Caenorhabditis elegans: one gene and its partner. The protein of the gene in region 1 interacts with the protein of each later gene in a pairwise test. Each region holds a gene or a part of one and is shown in the gene's direction. Other genes may lie near its edges. The genes, in order: ift-81 and osm-3.

Evidence for each region.
Region 2: the proteins of ift-81 (region 1) and osm-3 interact in a two-hybrid assay, tested with the Caenorhabditis elegans proteins (one study listed by BioGRID).

Annotation. Positions count from the first base shown.
Region 1 is NC_003284.9:5,296,221-5,302,519, forward strand, and holds the start of ift-81 (Intraflagellar transport protein 81 homolog), read left to right. Parts: upstream 1-2,340; 5' UTR 2,341-2,411; intron 2,412-2,444; 5' UTR 2,445-2,475; intron 2,476-2,506; 5' UTR 2,507-2,529; coding exon 2,530-2,660; intron 2,661-3,253; coding exon 3,254-3,373; intron 3,374-3,430; coding exon 3,431-3,554; intron 3,555-3,826; coding exon 3,827-3,907; intron 3,908-3,994; coding exon 3,995-4,149; intron 4,150-4,913; coding exon 4,914-4,998; intron 4,999-5,235; coding exon 5,236-5,340; intron 5,341-5,398; coding exon 5,399-5,542; intron 5,543-5,549; exon of another isoform or gene 5,550-5,570; intron 5,571-6,299. Other genes in the region: ags-3 (Tetratricopeptide repeat protein 28), read right to left, coding at 420-543, 592-737, 1,345-1,480, 1,528-1,678, 1,734-1,806.
Region 2 is NC_003282.8:3,794,863-3,802,651, reverse strand, and holds osm-3 (Osmotic avoidance abnormal protein 3), read left to right. Parts: upstream 1-2,204; coding exon 2,205-2,276; intron 2,277-3,553; coding exon 3,554-3,700; intron 3,701-3,750; coding exon 3,751-3,942; intron 3,943-3,982; coding exon 3,983-4,174; intron 4,175-4,222; coding exon 4,223-4,486; intron 4,487-4,761; coding exon 4,762-5,311; intron 5,312-5,359; coding exon 5,360-5,463; intron 5,464-5,507; coding exon 5,508-5,775; intron 5,776-5,910; coding exon 5,911-6,078; intron 6,079-6,123; coding exon 6,124-6,266; downstream 6,267-7,789. Other genes in the region: algn-14 (UDP-N-acetylglucosamine transferase subunit ALG14), read left to right, coding at 374-659; K09B3.1 (ShKT domain-containing protein), read right to left, coding at 6,398-6,486, 6,529-6,663, 6,711-6,770, 6,819-7,018, 7,309-7,459. UniProt on the Caenorhabditis elegans protein: Kinesin motor protein which is required for the anterograde intraflagellar transport (IFT) along the middle segment of the sensory neuron cilia together with the kinesin II motor complex (composed of klp-11, klp-20 and kap-1) and on its own, is required for IFT along the distal segment.

The DNA of each region.
Region 1 (6,299 bases):
TATAACTGAATGATTTACAAATTCAAGGTCACACGCCCGTAGCAACTGAAATTTGAACTTTGTTGTTTGGTTGAAAAATGGAGAAAATTTTTTTTGAGAAAATTGGACGTCTAGCTTTCCTATTCACCTGACAAAAACAAACAGCGTTTTCTGTCTGTAATGTGATCGGAAATGAGCATTAGGTTTCGGAAACTCGATAATCACGTGGTGAAAGTAAAAAACTCCTAAGCTTGAAACTTGGAAAACGAGATTGGCCTTAAAAGGTAAAATAGAAATAAAAATATCCTCATAAACTTTTGATCTACGCGTTGAAGGCAAAAAAAAAACTAGATTTCCGGTTTGAACCACAAACCACGCGACATTGCATCATCACATCCGTTCCGAAAAAGGGTTCTTACGTATTTTCAATAAAAACTCACAAGTTTATGAAAGTGGATAGATTGGTCATAGTCTCCAAGGCAATAATAAGTATTTCCTAAGCTGCCGTAGCATCGCCCCATCGTCAGCGCATCTTCCGATTTTTCCGACATCTCCAGATTTAGCCTGCAAATTTTAAAATCTTTATTAGGAAGATTGAAGTAATGAACTCACATAAAGTACTTGGCAGCATTCTCAAAATCCGAAGTGGCTTCTGCATTTTTGGCGTCATTTTTCTCTTCAGCAGCTTCCAGTTTTGTGCATCGCCCTCGCTCCACATAAATCGTCGCAATGTTGTAATAAGCTCGAGATTTGAGAACCTGAATTTTTTAAATGGAAAGTGTAAATTATCTGAATGCAATTAGGAGTTTCATTCTTGAATAATTGCGTTGTGCCTTATTTTGAAAAGCTGAAATATTTCATAGCAATATTCACAGCTGCTTCTAACAAGTTTCTAGGCAAGCATTCTGGAATCTTTTGGAATATACATTTTTATTTGAAAACATCTGAAACTTTTTCACCCAACTCGATCGAGAAATGTTTCAAGCTTCCAGAATGTTTGCATACCTGTAAACTTTCCGAAAACCACTAGAAGTTCGCAAAAATCAACATTGGATGCAATTTCACAGCTCTATTAAATATTGATCCTTTTCAGATGGTTTTTATGGTAGTTCAACGTGCTCTTCTGCCGCTAAATTTTTTGTGGTAACCTAGTTTGCAGGTCCCCTTTCAAATGACATAGATTTCATTCAGAAGTCTCATTGTAGGCTGAAATACTTTCCTTGTAACTATGGTTTATGTTGGAAACTTCGAAGAAAATTTAAGATGGAACTTTGTACATGTTTGCTAGCACGAAAATAATAAATCTCCTGTTGGTATAGCAACGGGTGCATTTTTTTTTCAAGTACAAAATCAAGTTCTACTCACTCTATCGCCCAACTCTTCGGCAAAATCCAGCTGTTTGAATGTGAAGGTGAGCGCGTCGTTGTAAGCGCCTTTCATCTTGAATATATTTCCCAAGTTGGCACACGACTTTGCTTCTCCCTCCTTGTTTCCAAGCAATCTGAAATTTTGTTTATTTTTTGTTTAAATTTCTTTCGCATTCGTTACCTTTCAACAAGAATGTCATACGTATGGAACTTGAGAGCTTGCTCATAATCTTTAAGCATTGTGTGTGCATTTCCGAGCTGACAATAGATAGCCGAGAGTAATGAAAAATCATCTGTGCCTACTTCCAACGCTTTTTTCAACAAGTCGATGCCTGAAATATTCAAATTCAATCAATTATTTACAAATAATAATAAAAAAGAAGTTACCTTTCTCATACTTTTGCATGCGAAAAAGACGTTCCCCTTCCTGTGTGAGCTTGTAGCAGGAACGGTCCTGCATCGCACCTTTCCCCGCTGCAAAAAAAAAATCGATTGATATTCTTCGATGACAAAGATTTCAGAAATCTGCACAATACTAGAAAAAAGGAGAGAAACACAAGCGATTAAGATTGAGAAAGAAGAATCGAAATGTGGTCTTTCAGAACAGAAAGGGTGGTCAATGTAGAAAAAAAGGTATTTGAATGATTTATTCGAACGAGTACGGACCAACAAACTCCTCTGTTTGTTCGTTGCACGGCCGCTCTCAGTACATGGAAAGAAACGTCCTTGCTATGTCTGCGGCAGCTCTCTCGTTCACTCCTCACGACAGATGAGCTAGTAACCGCGCGTTGACGTCATTTGTGTAAAGACGGCTAGGAAGTATTGTTTCGAGCAAAATATTTGTTAATTTAAAATGACAAAGGAATATAAACTGATAGTCTTAAAAGATACATTACTCAAAAAAAAACTCTCATATGAAAAATATAAATTATTACCTTAGAGTATCAAAAGTTCACATTTAATTACCACTCACTCAAAACAAATCTCTAACCACAGTTAATTACCAACAAACTGATTCAACTTGTTCAACTTCTGTTCCCTTTTCAATACTACTTGAAACATTTCACACTCACATAGCAAAGAGCCCAGCAACAACATATATTTACGTCGTGTTGCCCTGGTAACCGGGAGCGCTGCTCGACGAGCTCGCGTTTATTGTCATCACTAACGGTGTATCCTTAAGATGTCGAACGATATTCAAGGGTTTATTCTCCACTTTTTGAATGAAGAGCCGTTCAATCTCAACTTATCATCACTTCAATTCGACCAATTACCACCGCAGCAGTTGCTCCAAATTTTGAGTAATGTTTTGAGGTTGGTTAAGTCAAAAAAAGAAATTTAAAAAATGCGATATCGAGAAAAAACAGTTATGGTGTTTAAAATATTCACAAAAATTTTCCAGAAACGTGTGCTACATTTTTTGTGACAATTAAAAAACAGCTACTTTATTATTATTGTATCGTTATTTTTTCAAGAATTTTTCAAAGAAATATAAATAAATTTTTTTAATTTCTAAAAATAGCTTTACCTTTAATTGTACTTTTGGATGTTGCTCAAAAAAAGGCACAAAGTTACAATGTGCGTGTTAAATTTGCTGGTTGGCAAACTGATACTAATGTCAGTTTTTGAGCAATCTTCTTAAACTTTCTATTGAAAGTAATTATTTTATAGATTGCTGTGTAAATTTAAAAAAAATTTGACACAACAATAAAGAAAAGGGGTATCAGCAGGTCCACTTGGGTAGAATGTTCAAAAAATTCGGTTCTTTCTTATTTGTTTGCAAAATTTCAAAAGTCATAAAAAAATTAAGAAAAATTTGAATAAATTTTTTACAAACACATAAATGCTCTCACTGATAAAATTGAATTTAATAATATAAGAACAACGAAAATTTTTAAAATGTTCAGCTGGGTTTCCGACACGGACCGAATTGATATCAAAAGAGAGGCTGCTGAAGAGACTGCAATTCGTATTCTGAATATGCTCCGAATTCTCCGCTACAGACCACCGCAAGACCAGGATGAACAGTTCGTGCAAAACGAGGGCAATCACTAAACAGCATCTAATTTGACATTATATTACAGGGAAGAATGGCGTGCAGGGATTGTCGAAGGTCGCAAGACTAGCCTCTATCCTCTTCTGGTTTTTCTTTTTGAAAACTCAGAAGGTTTGAAAGAGCGCGCATATTTGTCAAAATATTTGATGAAGGTAATGAATTGCTATGCCAAAAGCCGACATGTTATGCTAGTGGTTTCTGGGGGGAGAGAAATAGATGTTGTCATTATTTTTTTTAAAAGAAAAATGATACATAGAGAACAAGCATCGTTCTGCTTGAATAGCTGATATAGTAGGCAAGACAGCCGAAGTTTTTGGTTTAGTTAGTCTCTGATCTAGGTACACATTGAATTAATGAATCAAGAAATGGCTAAACAGCTTCGCACTTTTTTGTAATTGGAAATACGTAAATTAATTATTTTCAGACAGATGTACCTGGAGAATTCTTCGATTATGATATTGAAGAGCTGCAAAATGAGATTGGAGAGTTGACAATGGAGTTTAAGGTTAATCACATGAGAGATTAGTCGTCACGATAGTGGATGAGCAAAAAAAAAGCAAAAACAAAAAAAAACAAAACAACTTTTCTACAGGAAATCCATGCTGAAATGAAAGGAATAATGGCAGACGTACTCTTGCTTGATGACATAAAAGAGGATTTAAAGTCAATGGAAAAAGAAAAACAAATTTTGCTCCGAAAGATTGAGAAGACCGAGAAGAAAGTGCAGAATATACCATATTTTGATAAGTAAGTTCAAATAATGTGAAAACTTCAAAAAAAAATTGTTCAAAAATAACAGGAAAATGTAGTCAAAATTTAATTAATTACTTGTTTTATGCGAAAAAAAGGAAAATTCGTTTAACAATAGAAAACTAATAAAAGTTTTCACTGACAAGTGAATTTGCTATCTGAATTCATCGTGTTAGAAAACCTCAGAAAAACTGAAAAAGCCCGGCAAATGAGCTCAGATTTTTTTCTTTATTTTTTTTGATTTTTTTTTGAAATTTGTATTTTGCCTGATTTTACATATTTCAAAACATTGAAGGTAAAAAAACAGCTCACTTGAAACTTTAGAGCTGTAAACTTTATAAGCTGATAAGATGGATATTTCCGATCATTCTTGTTAGTTTCTAACACATTTACATTGCTAATATATTTTTAAAGCAATTTTTGAGCAAAGCTTTTGGCCTGTATCGGTATTGCTTTTAAGCTCTGGTTTGACTCATTGTCAAAAAAATTGAATATAAGGCTCATATTTTTACTACAAGTACGATAAAGTCTGCTTCAATCATAATTAAGTAGAAAACAATAAATTTACAAGCTTTTTGCTAAATAACGAGCGCTATGCAAGTGCAGATAGAAATTTGCGGAAAATTGTCCGTTTTTCATATAAACGTAAGTAAGGGAGTTCTTTAGCGTAAATTATAAAAATAAAAAATAAAATAAAATGAATTTAGTATAAAAATAAAACATAAATTTTGGCATTTTTCAAAATAGCCAATCGTTTTCAGACAAATGCAACTTGCATTACAATTACGCGGAGAGAAAACCCGATATGCAGATTTTGCAATTGAAAAACAACAAGAACGGCAGAAGGTTGGTTCTTTGGGAATTCCATTTTTTTATCTCAAAATCAAAAATAGACCGAGTGAAATATTTTCCTTTTTCTTTATCTCCGACGTAATTTTTTTTTGCTCTCCTGACAAAAAATGAAAGAAGAAGTACAGAAATAGCGAGTGCAATTTTTTTGTTCTCGAGTGTGCGGCTTCTTCCTTCTTACTGCGTTTTTTTGGCGCAGCGAGCATCAAAAATCAGAAATTCTTTTCTGTTTAGGTCCTGAACATCGAAGCCAGAATCAACCGAATGAAAATCAATTTGACGGAGGCTCAAGCGGTCGCTGACACATTGGATGAACAGGCGTTAATGGAAAAATTAGAGGTTACTAGACTTATTTTTCTCGTCTTCTCCTATCTAATGACGACAGAGGGTTTCTTAGGACGAAGTTGCGACGAACACTTACTTAGTGAATGGCAAGTTGTTTCAAGAAATTGAATCAAAGGAAAACAAGTTGAAAGAGCTGACAGCCATGGCAAGGTCCAATTCAGTGCGGGAAGAGGATGTCAGTAGAATGAATTCTGAGGTAAGCTTAAAGATACCAGGCTTAAAGATCTCTGCAGATTTAACTTTGGGGAATTTTATGATAAATGTGCAGCCGACAGTATATATGCAACACTGACCTCACGTTTTAATTAAATTACCATTAAAAAAGGAATTAATGCTATTGGAGCACGGCTACTACACAGATACGTTGCCCGAAATACAAAATTTCGAAAGCAAGTTGTTAGCGAAAATTAAAAGTTTTAGCGGGAACTTCAAATTTTCTGGGAAAAAAATTTGGCGAAAAATTTAAGTATTCCGAAAAATTTTTTCGCGGAAATTAAAATTTTCTCGGGAATTTTTTTCTGTGGGATTTTCAAATTTTCTAGGAAAACAAACTTGGCAATAAAGTTTTTCTGAAAAAAATTTTGATAGGAAATTCAAATTTTTTGTAAACAAAAATTAGCGGGAATAAAAACTACATTGATGTTAAAAAACTGCTAGAATGATTTTGCTATTTTTGAAAATGTATACCAAATTTAACAAAAAAAAACATCCAAAATAAAATTGTCGCCCAGCTTAAACGTGGCTGCACTTTTCACTTATTTCCAAGGTGATTACAAAATTAAATGATGTAATTACAGAAAAAAGTTGTATGTTTTAAGAGTTAAAAGCTATTCAAAAGCTTTTTTCAAACGTGGGCAAAAACAAATAACAGAGCCAAAGAGCGAAACAATGGCTTCAGACGTCAGAGAGACGAAAAAATTTTCCAATTTTCGTCTGACCAAAAATATGTTAAT
Region 2 (7,789 bases), on another chromosome or scaffold:
GCAATGATTTCATTAAAAACCTATCAATTTTCATTCTATTCGAGATTTTTAATATGAGAATTAGATTTTTAAGCTAATTTCAATTATGAAAGTCGCATTTTTGAACTGGAAATTGGTCACTTTCAGTTAAAATCAATAATTTTGACTCTGAAAATCACATTTCTGAGAATTTTATTATAAAATTAGACATTCTAAGCTAATTTTAACACTGAAAATCACATTTTTATTGCTTTTTGGCTCAAAAAATGACCATTTTCAGTCAAAATAAATCAATTTTTAGCCAATTTTAGCTGTCCTAACTGAAAATTCGACATTTTTCCATCAATTTTCACTCTAAAAACTCAATTTTCCACTCAAAATCGCCAATTTTCAGTCCGGATCTAATCGTGCTCAACGGGCCTGGAACCTGTATCCCAGTCGCCTTGGCGGCCGCCTTCTTCGACATAATTCGCCTAATCGATACAGTTATTATCTACGAAGAATCGATTTGCCGAGTGAAAAAGCTCTCCTTATCCGGTGCAATTTTGTATTATCTCGGAATGGTCGACTGCCTGATTGTGCATTGGCCGGGGCTCAAGAAATCGTATCCAAGAGCCACGTATATTCAGGATTTGGAGCACAAATTCACGTTGGATGGCTCGGAGAAAAAATCTCAATAAAAATATTAATTTATGTGTCAATTTTAGGGGGGATTTTGTTTTTAAATGTCGGAAAAATTTTGAAATTTTGAAAAAAAAACTATATTTTCCAAAATTTTTAGTGTTTTGAAGAAAACTTTTCAATTTTCTAGAGAAAAAACCTTTTAATTAAAAAAACACAGAAAGATGGAAATTTGGAAAAAATGATTTTTGTGATTTTTGCAAATTTTGGAAAATTCGTTTTTTTTTCAAAACAAAATGAATTTCACCTTTTTAAAAATTCAGCAAAAGTTAGATTTTTTTTTAATTAATTTTTTTGCAGATTAAATTTTACAATTTTTTATCGATTTTTTTTCAGATTTTTTTCCAAAAATTCACGTTTTTTTACGGATTTCCTCTAAAAAATCATTGAAAATCGAGGTTTGCTTCAAAATTCGGTAAAAAATCGAAAATGTTTTTTAAAAAATCTGAAAATGATTTTTTAGTGGAAAATCTGAAAAAATTTCAAGAAATTTGAATTTTTCAAAAAAATTCGTAAAACTACCGTATATTCTCTATTAGTGCGGCACCCCCATCGCTCACCTTTGACGTCATATGTCTTGATTGATTTTGAAGATATTAAGACCTTTTAAAACATTAAGCATAGAAGGAGTTTTAACAAACATTTCCGTAGTTAAAGACTTTTTACCAAAATCAAAGGTGACCGAGATATGAGCTGTCAAAGTTGAGTGGTGGGGTGCCGCACTAATAGAGAATATACGGTACTTTTTTTTCGAAAAAGAAGTAATAAAAATGTCATTAAAAATTTGGATTTTTCTAAATCGGAAAATTCGTTAATTTTGGCTGAAAATCTAGATTTTTTGAAATTTTCACGAAAAAAGCTTAAAATCCGGCTAAAATTCAATTTTCTTAAAAATTTTTTGTAAAAAATTAAATTTGCCTGAAAATCCGAAATTTCTGGTCAATTTTTTCTACACAAAAAAACCCAAAAACTTCGATTTTCCCGATATTTTTAACCAAAACTTTAACCGATTCTTGTATGTATTTTCTAGCTTTACTTGTCTCTATTGTGCTTTATACGCCCATTTCTTGTACATTCCCGCCATTTCAATATTTCCAAAACTAATTTCCGTTTGAATTTATATGACTTTCAAATTCCAGTCATTTTTCAGCCAAAAACCAATCAGCAATGCGGAAATATCAAAATCGACGGCAGCTTTTATTGAAACAATCGTATATAATTCAATTCCCTCAACCCTAGCGGCAGCGTGGCTCGAAAGAAAAAGAAGAAGCATAACAATATCTGGTTGCTAGGCGCCACCTCCCTCCACTCATTCCTTTGCTCTCGGAGCAGCAGTGGTGTATATGCTCGTTGCTCCGCGCGACACCAAACTCTTTTCGTTTTATTTTTTACTACGTCGTTTTTTTTTTGAAATTTTTTTTTCCGAAAATTTTCAACCTTTGAGCTCTTCACATGTTTTATTACGTCGATTTATGTGAAAAAAAAAATTTTTTTCGGAATTTTTTTTCGGAACATTTTTCAATATTTAAGCTCCCACCAACTGTATGGCAGAGAGCGTCCGGGTCGCCGTAAGATGTCGTCCGTTCAATCAGAGAGAAAAGGACCTGAATACGACGGTTGGTTTTTTGATTGGATTTTCAGAAAAACCAGCTGAAAATCAAACAATTTAGGCCTAAATCGAATATTTAAAGCGCAAAAAAATTAAAATTTCCCAGAAAAACCCGAAAAAATTGAGAAAATGTGGAATTTTCGGCGAAGTTCTTCTTTTTAATTAGCCAAAATCATTCGAAATTGGGAAAATTCTAAATTTTGAGTATATTATTACTTTTCAGTGTTTTCCTATTACAGTGCCAGGTCTTGAAACGACATTTTTTGTAAAATACAAACGGGCGTGCGCCTTTAAAGAATACTGTAATTTTGAACTCTCGTTTTTTTTTGGAATTTTCAAAAAAATACATTTATTTATTGAAAAACTGCTACATAAATTTCACAAATTCGATAAAAATTCACAAAGTCGATAAAAATTACACTACTCTTTAAAGGCGCACAGTTTACAAAAAAAATGAATTTTTGCTCAATTTTCTGTATTTTTCGATCATTTTTTTGTTCGATTTTCCTGATTTTTAATAGAAATTGTGTACTTTGTCGGCAAAATTAACCTAAAATCTAGAAAAAATTGATAATAACCTTTCGATGTCAGAATTTAAATTTTACAGGCCGAGGGTCTCACAGCGATTGAGAGCTAGTTATTGTAGTTTTGAGGCTTTTTTCCTGCTGTTTTAAAAGAGTTAGCTGGAGCTAGGAAAAGTTCGAATGATATCTTTAATAAATTTGAACGTCATAAACAATGTTTTCTTTGAAGAAGCCGTACATAATTGCTGACTAAAAAGTAAAAAGGTATTCGGAAAACTTGTGAAAAAGCGCATGTTTCCCCCTCCCCACATCACCTGCTTCACTGGACACATGTGAATGAAAAAACGTAATAAAACTTGAATATTTATTTTTGGTTTAAACATGGTGGCCGAGTTTTCCTATTTTTCGGCCATGAAAAAAGATGTCACGTAGTTCCGTTTACTTCCTTATTATTGTCTACTATACGATTTACCCCCGTAATTTCCGGGAAAACATGTTTTAATGTTTTTGGGTTACTGTTTCCCTCTAGACTATAATATCCGATACATGCTTAGGTAATATCCGTTTATTTTTATTACGAAAATAGGCAAATATTCACTTCGTAGGCGTGAGAACTCTGGTGCGAAACCGTGGGAATTGTAGGAAACTCTACAAAGTTTTCTGGGGGACTAGGGGTCTTCTTCTAGGGCACTAGAGACTGAAAAGCGCTAGAAATTGACAATTTTCTTCTAGGAACCCTAAAATGTTTCAAAATTTCCAGCTATGCGTCGGAATGACTCCGAACGTTGGACAGGTCAACCTGAACGCGCCGGACGGGGCGGCCAAGGACTTCACGTTCGATGGAGCCTACTTTATGGATTCGACCGGCGAGCAGATTTACAATGATATTGTCTTTCCGCTAGTTGAGGTGAGAAAATTTGAAGATTTCTCCTACCAAAGCTTCTAAAAACCGTACAGAACGTGATAGAAGGCTACAATGGCACTGTGTTTGCCTATGGCCAAACTGGATCGGGCAAGACTTTCTCCATGCAGGGCATCGAAACAATTCCAGCTCAACGGGGTGTGATTCCACGGGCTTTTGATCACATATTCACCGCCACGGCTACGACGGAAAATGTGAAATTCCTGGTGCACTGCAGCTATTTAGAGGTTTCAGATTTTTGATCCCTTCCCTTAAATTTTGCTTTAGATTTACAACGAAGAGGTTAGAGACTTGCTGGGCGCCGACAATAAACAAAAACTGGAGATCAAAGAGCAACCGGATCGGGGTGTCTATGTGGCGGGCCTCTCCATGCATGTTTGTCATGATGTCCCGGCTTGCAAGGAGCTGATGACTCGGGGCTTCAACAATCGGCACGTCGGCGCCACGTTGATGAACAAGGTGGCCCTTGACCTGACTCTTTGACCTGACCTCAATTTCTATGTTCAGGACTCTTCCCGAAGTCACTCAATCTTCACGGTATACGTGGAAGGCATGACAGAAACCGGATCGATCAGGATGGGAAAGTTGAATCTGGTCGATTTGGCTGGAAGTGAGCGGCAGAGCAAGACAGGAGCCACCGGTGACCGTTTGAAGGAGGCCACGAAGATTAACCTATCGCTGTCGGCGTTGGGTAATGTGATATCGGCGTTGGTGGACGGAAAGTCGAAGCATATACCCTACAGGGACAGTAAGCTGACTAGGTTGTTACAGGTAAGGACGATTCATTTTTGAGATGATGAGGTGGTTGTTGGGCCGGGCCATTTGAGCCTAGGTCCTGAAGTCTAGCGCGGTAGGAAATGTATGCTAATATGATAAGTGACGGTAGGGATCCAGACCATAGTCATAAGGTATTTGTGGACCACAATTAATGGAAGTGCTAGCCTAGGCTGTAGGTGACGTAGGGAGAAGGCCTAAGCTAGAACCCAACGATCCAAGCCACTGTCGATCCTGCGACCTAGGACGCTTATCCAACTCAAATTTTCCAGGATTCTCTTGGTGGTAACACAAAGACCATTATGATCGCCTGCGTGTCCCCATCCAGTGACAACTACGACGAGACTCTCTCCACACTTCGATATGCCAACCGTGCCAAGAACATCAAGAACAAGCCGACGATCAACGAGGATCCAAAGGATGCTCTTCTTCGAGAGTACCAGGAGGAAATCGCTCGGCTCAAGTCTATGGTTCAACCGGGGGCCGTTGGAGTTGGCGCTCCTGCGCAGGACGCTTTCTCGATAGAAGAGGAGAGGAAGAAGCTACGGGAAGAATTCGAGGAGGCGATGAACGACTTGCGTGGCGAGTATGAGCGGGAGCAGACGAGTAAAGCGGAGCTACAGAAGGACCTGGAGTCCTTGAGAGCAGACTATGAAAGGGCTAATGCGAATTTAGACAACTTGAATCCGGAAGAAGCGGCGAAGAAGATCCAACAGCTCCAAGATCAGTTTATTGGAGGAGAAGAAGCAGGCAATACTCAGCTGAAGCAAAAACGGATGAAGCAGCTGAAGGAGGCAGAGACTAAAACGCAGAAGTTGGCAGGTAAGAACTTCTAGAACTTCAGCAAGTCTTGCACGCAGTAAGTTTCAGCCGCGTTAAACGTTCATAAGGATGATCCTCTGCTTCAAGTCTACAGTACTACTCAAGAAAAACTTGACGCAGTTACTTCTCAACTGGAGAAGGAAGTCAAGAAAGTAAGTCCCTCCAGTTTTACAAAGTGAATAGTGGAATGTTTCAGTCCAAAGGTTACGAGCGAGAAATCGAGGATCTCCACGGCGAATTCGAACTGGATCGTCTCGATTATCTAGACACAATTCGGAAGCAGGACCAGCAGTTGAAGCTCCTTATGCAGATTATGGACAAAATCCAGCCGATCATCAAGAAAGATACGAATTATAGTAACGTGGATCGGATAAAGAAGGAGGCGGTGTGGAATGAAGACGAGAGTCGATGGATTTTGCCGGAAATGTCGATGAGTCGGACTATTCTGCCGTTGGCTAATAATGGTAGGTCTGGATTTGATTAGATTGCAGGCCTCACTGCTAAGCCTGAGCTTTTCCAAGAAACATGTAAGGCGGGATTGCCAAAAAGCGGCCGATTATTCTAGCAATTTGGGATTGCTTTATTCTTCCATCTTTCAGGTTATATGCAAGAACCTGCTCGGCAAGAGAACACCTTATTACGGTCTAACTTTGACGACAAACTACGCGAGCGGCTAGCGAAAAGTGACTCGGAAAACCTGGCAAACAGCTACTTCAAGCCAGTGAAGCAGATCAATGTGATCAACAAGTACAAGAGTGATCAAAAATGTGAGTTAGACCCCTTAGACCTTGCAAAAAGTCAAAAAGTTTCAGTATCAACTTCCAAATCGCTATTTCCATCCAAGACCCCAACATTCGATGGTCTTGTCAACGGAGTCGTCTACACTGATGCTCTCTACGAGCGGGCTCAATCTGCAAAACGACCACCTCGACTAGCCTCTCTGAATCCCAAATAATTCGTGTGTACATTGTGATGTTTAGAAATTTGCTGAATAGTTTGCACGGGTGATATCGAGAATAAAATTAATGAATGTGAGATCTTTATCAATTTTATACAGGTAGCATAAATAGATTCTAATCCAGTTGATCACCGGCTCGGCAACTGCTCACTTTTCGCTTTCGTCAGTATACCAATGCTCTTGGAACTACTCGATGGAGTTGGTTGTCGGAGGATCCCTGAAGAAAATTTTAAGGTTGCAAGTGCGCTCTAAGCCTCACCAGTTTCGTAAATCGATCTCCCGATGAATTGAGCAAGGGGGTCTAACAAACCGGCTTGGGGGTATCCCATCCCTCCGTACCCTCCAAATGGGTTGTAGGACCCCATGGACCCGAGAGCTCCAACACCTGTGCTGCCTGAAACAAAACTCTAATAGTAGCGCACGCCCTGAACGACTACTTACAAGTTCCACAGGACATTGCACACGTCTGCCGCATCATCATTGGATTTGTAGAGCATTGGCCTGAAAAAAACTACAAAATTTCTGCTAGAACTTTATGCTTCGGTCTACCTGTGCTCGCCCAAACGGAGCATTGAGGGCTCAGATCCATGCATCCGCCAGCTCCATACATCCCGCCGCCACCGGACATCATCGGATTGCTACCATACCTGCAAAGACTCCGTGATCTCATGGAAGGCAGGCCGCGGCAGTCGCGTTGGTTTTCAGTTGGAGGATTTGGGTTGGGTTGGGTAATTTCTGTCGCGTCGGTTCTAAACGAACAGATGAGATATGCGAGAAGTGTGGAAGAGAAAGGAAGGGAGAGATGAGAGAGAAGCTAGAGCGCCTGACCTTTCTGCGTCTTTTTGAGTCTCTCTCGCTCATGTACCGCGCGTGACGGGAAACTGTTATAGCTCCGCAACAGTGAGAACTAGAAAAAAGTTGTCAACTAACAAAAAAAATTCAAGGGCTGCCAATTTTCAGTTGACAACTGACAACTTTTCTGTAGTTCCAACCCACGCAGAGATATACTCGCTCAAAGTTAAACTTTAAAAAATCTCACCCATAAACCTGATTCATATACGGATTCATTGGATAGCCCATTCCATAGCCCATTCCGTACCCAGTTCCATAGCCGCTACCGTACCCTCCATAGCCATTATATCCGCTACCATAGAGGCCATATTGAGCAAAAGAGCAGGAGAAACATAGTGCTGAAAAAAAGGATGTTGTGTGGACCTATAGTTTGATTACTGCGGCTTATCAGCCGGTATAGTTCTAGTCCTAATGCCTAGCCATTGAGCATCTCTCTCTGACCAACGGTCTCTTGTATTTACTACTCTTCATAGCATTCTCATTAATAAAAGATATTATTATCACTATTGTGAGATTACTGTCTGGGACTCGAAACTAGAGGTAAGTAGCATCTGTGTCTATGTGCCTATTCATGATATAAAAATATTGTTAACTCAAAAACTAATTATTAAACATTTCCAACATTTGATTAGTTGACACTTTTTTGATAGCTTGCATGACCGCGGAGA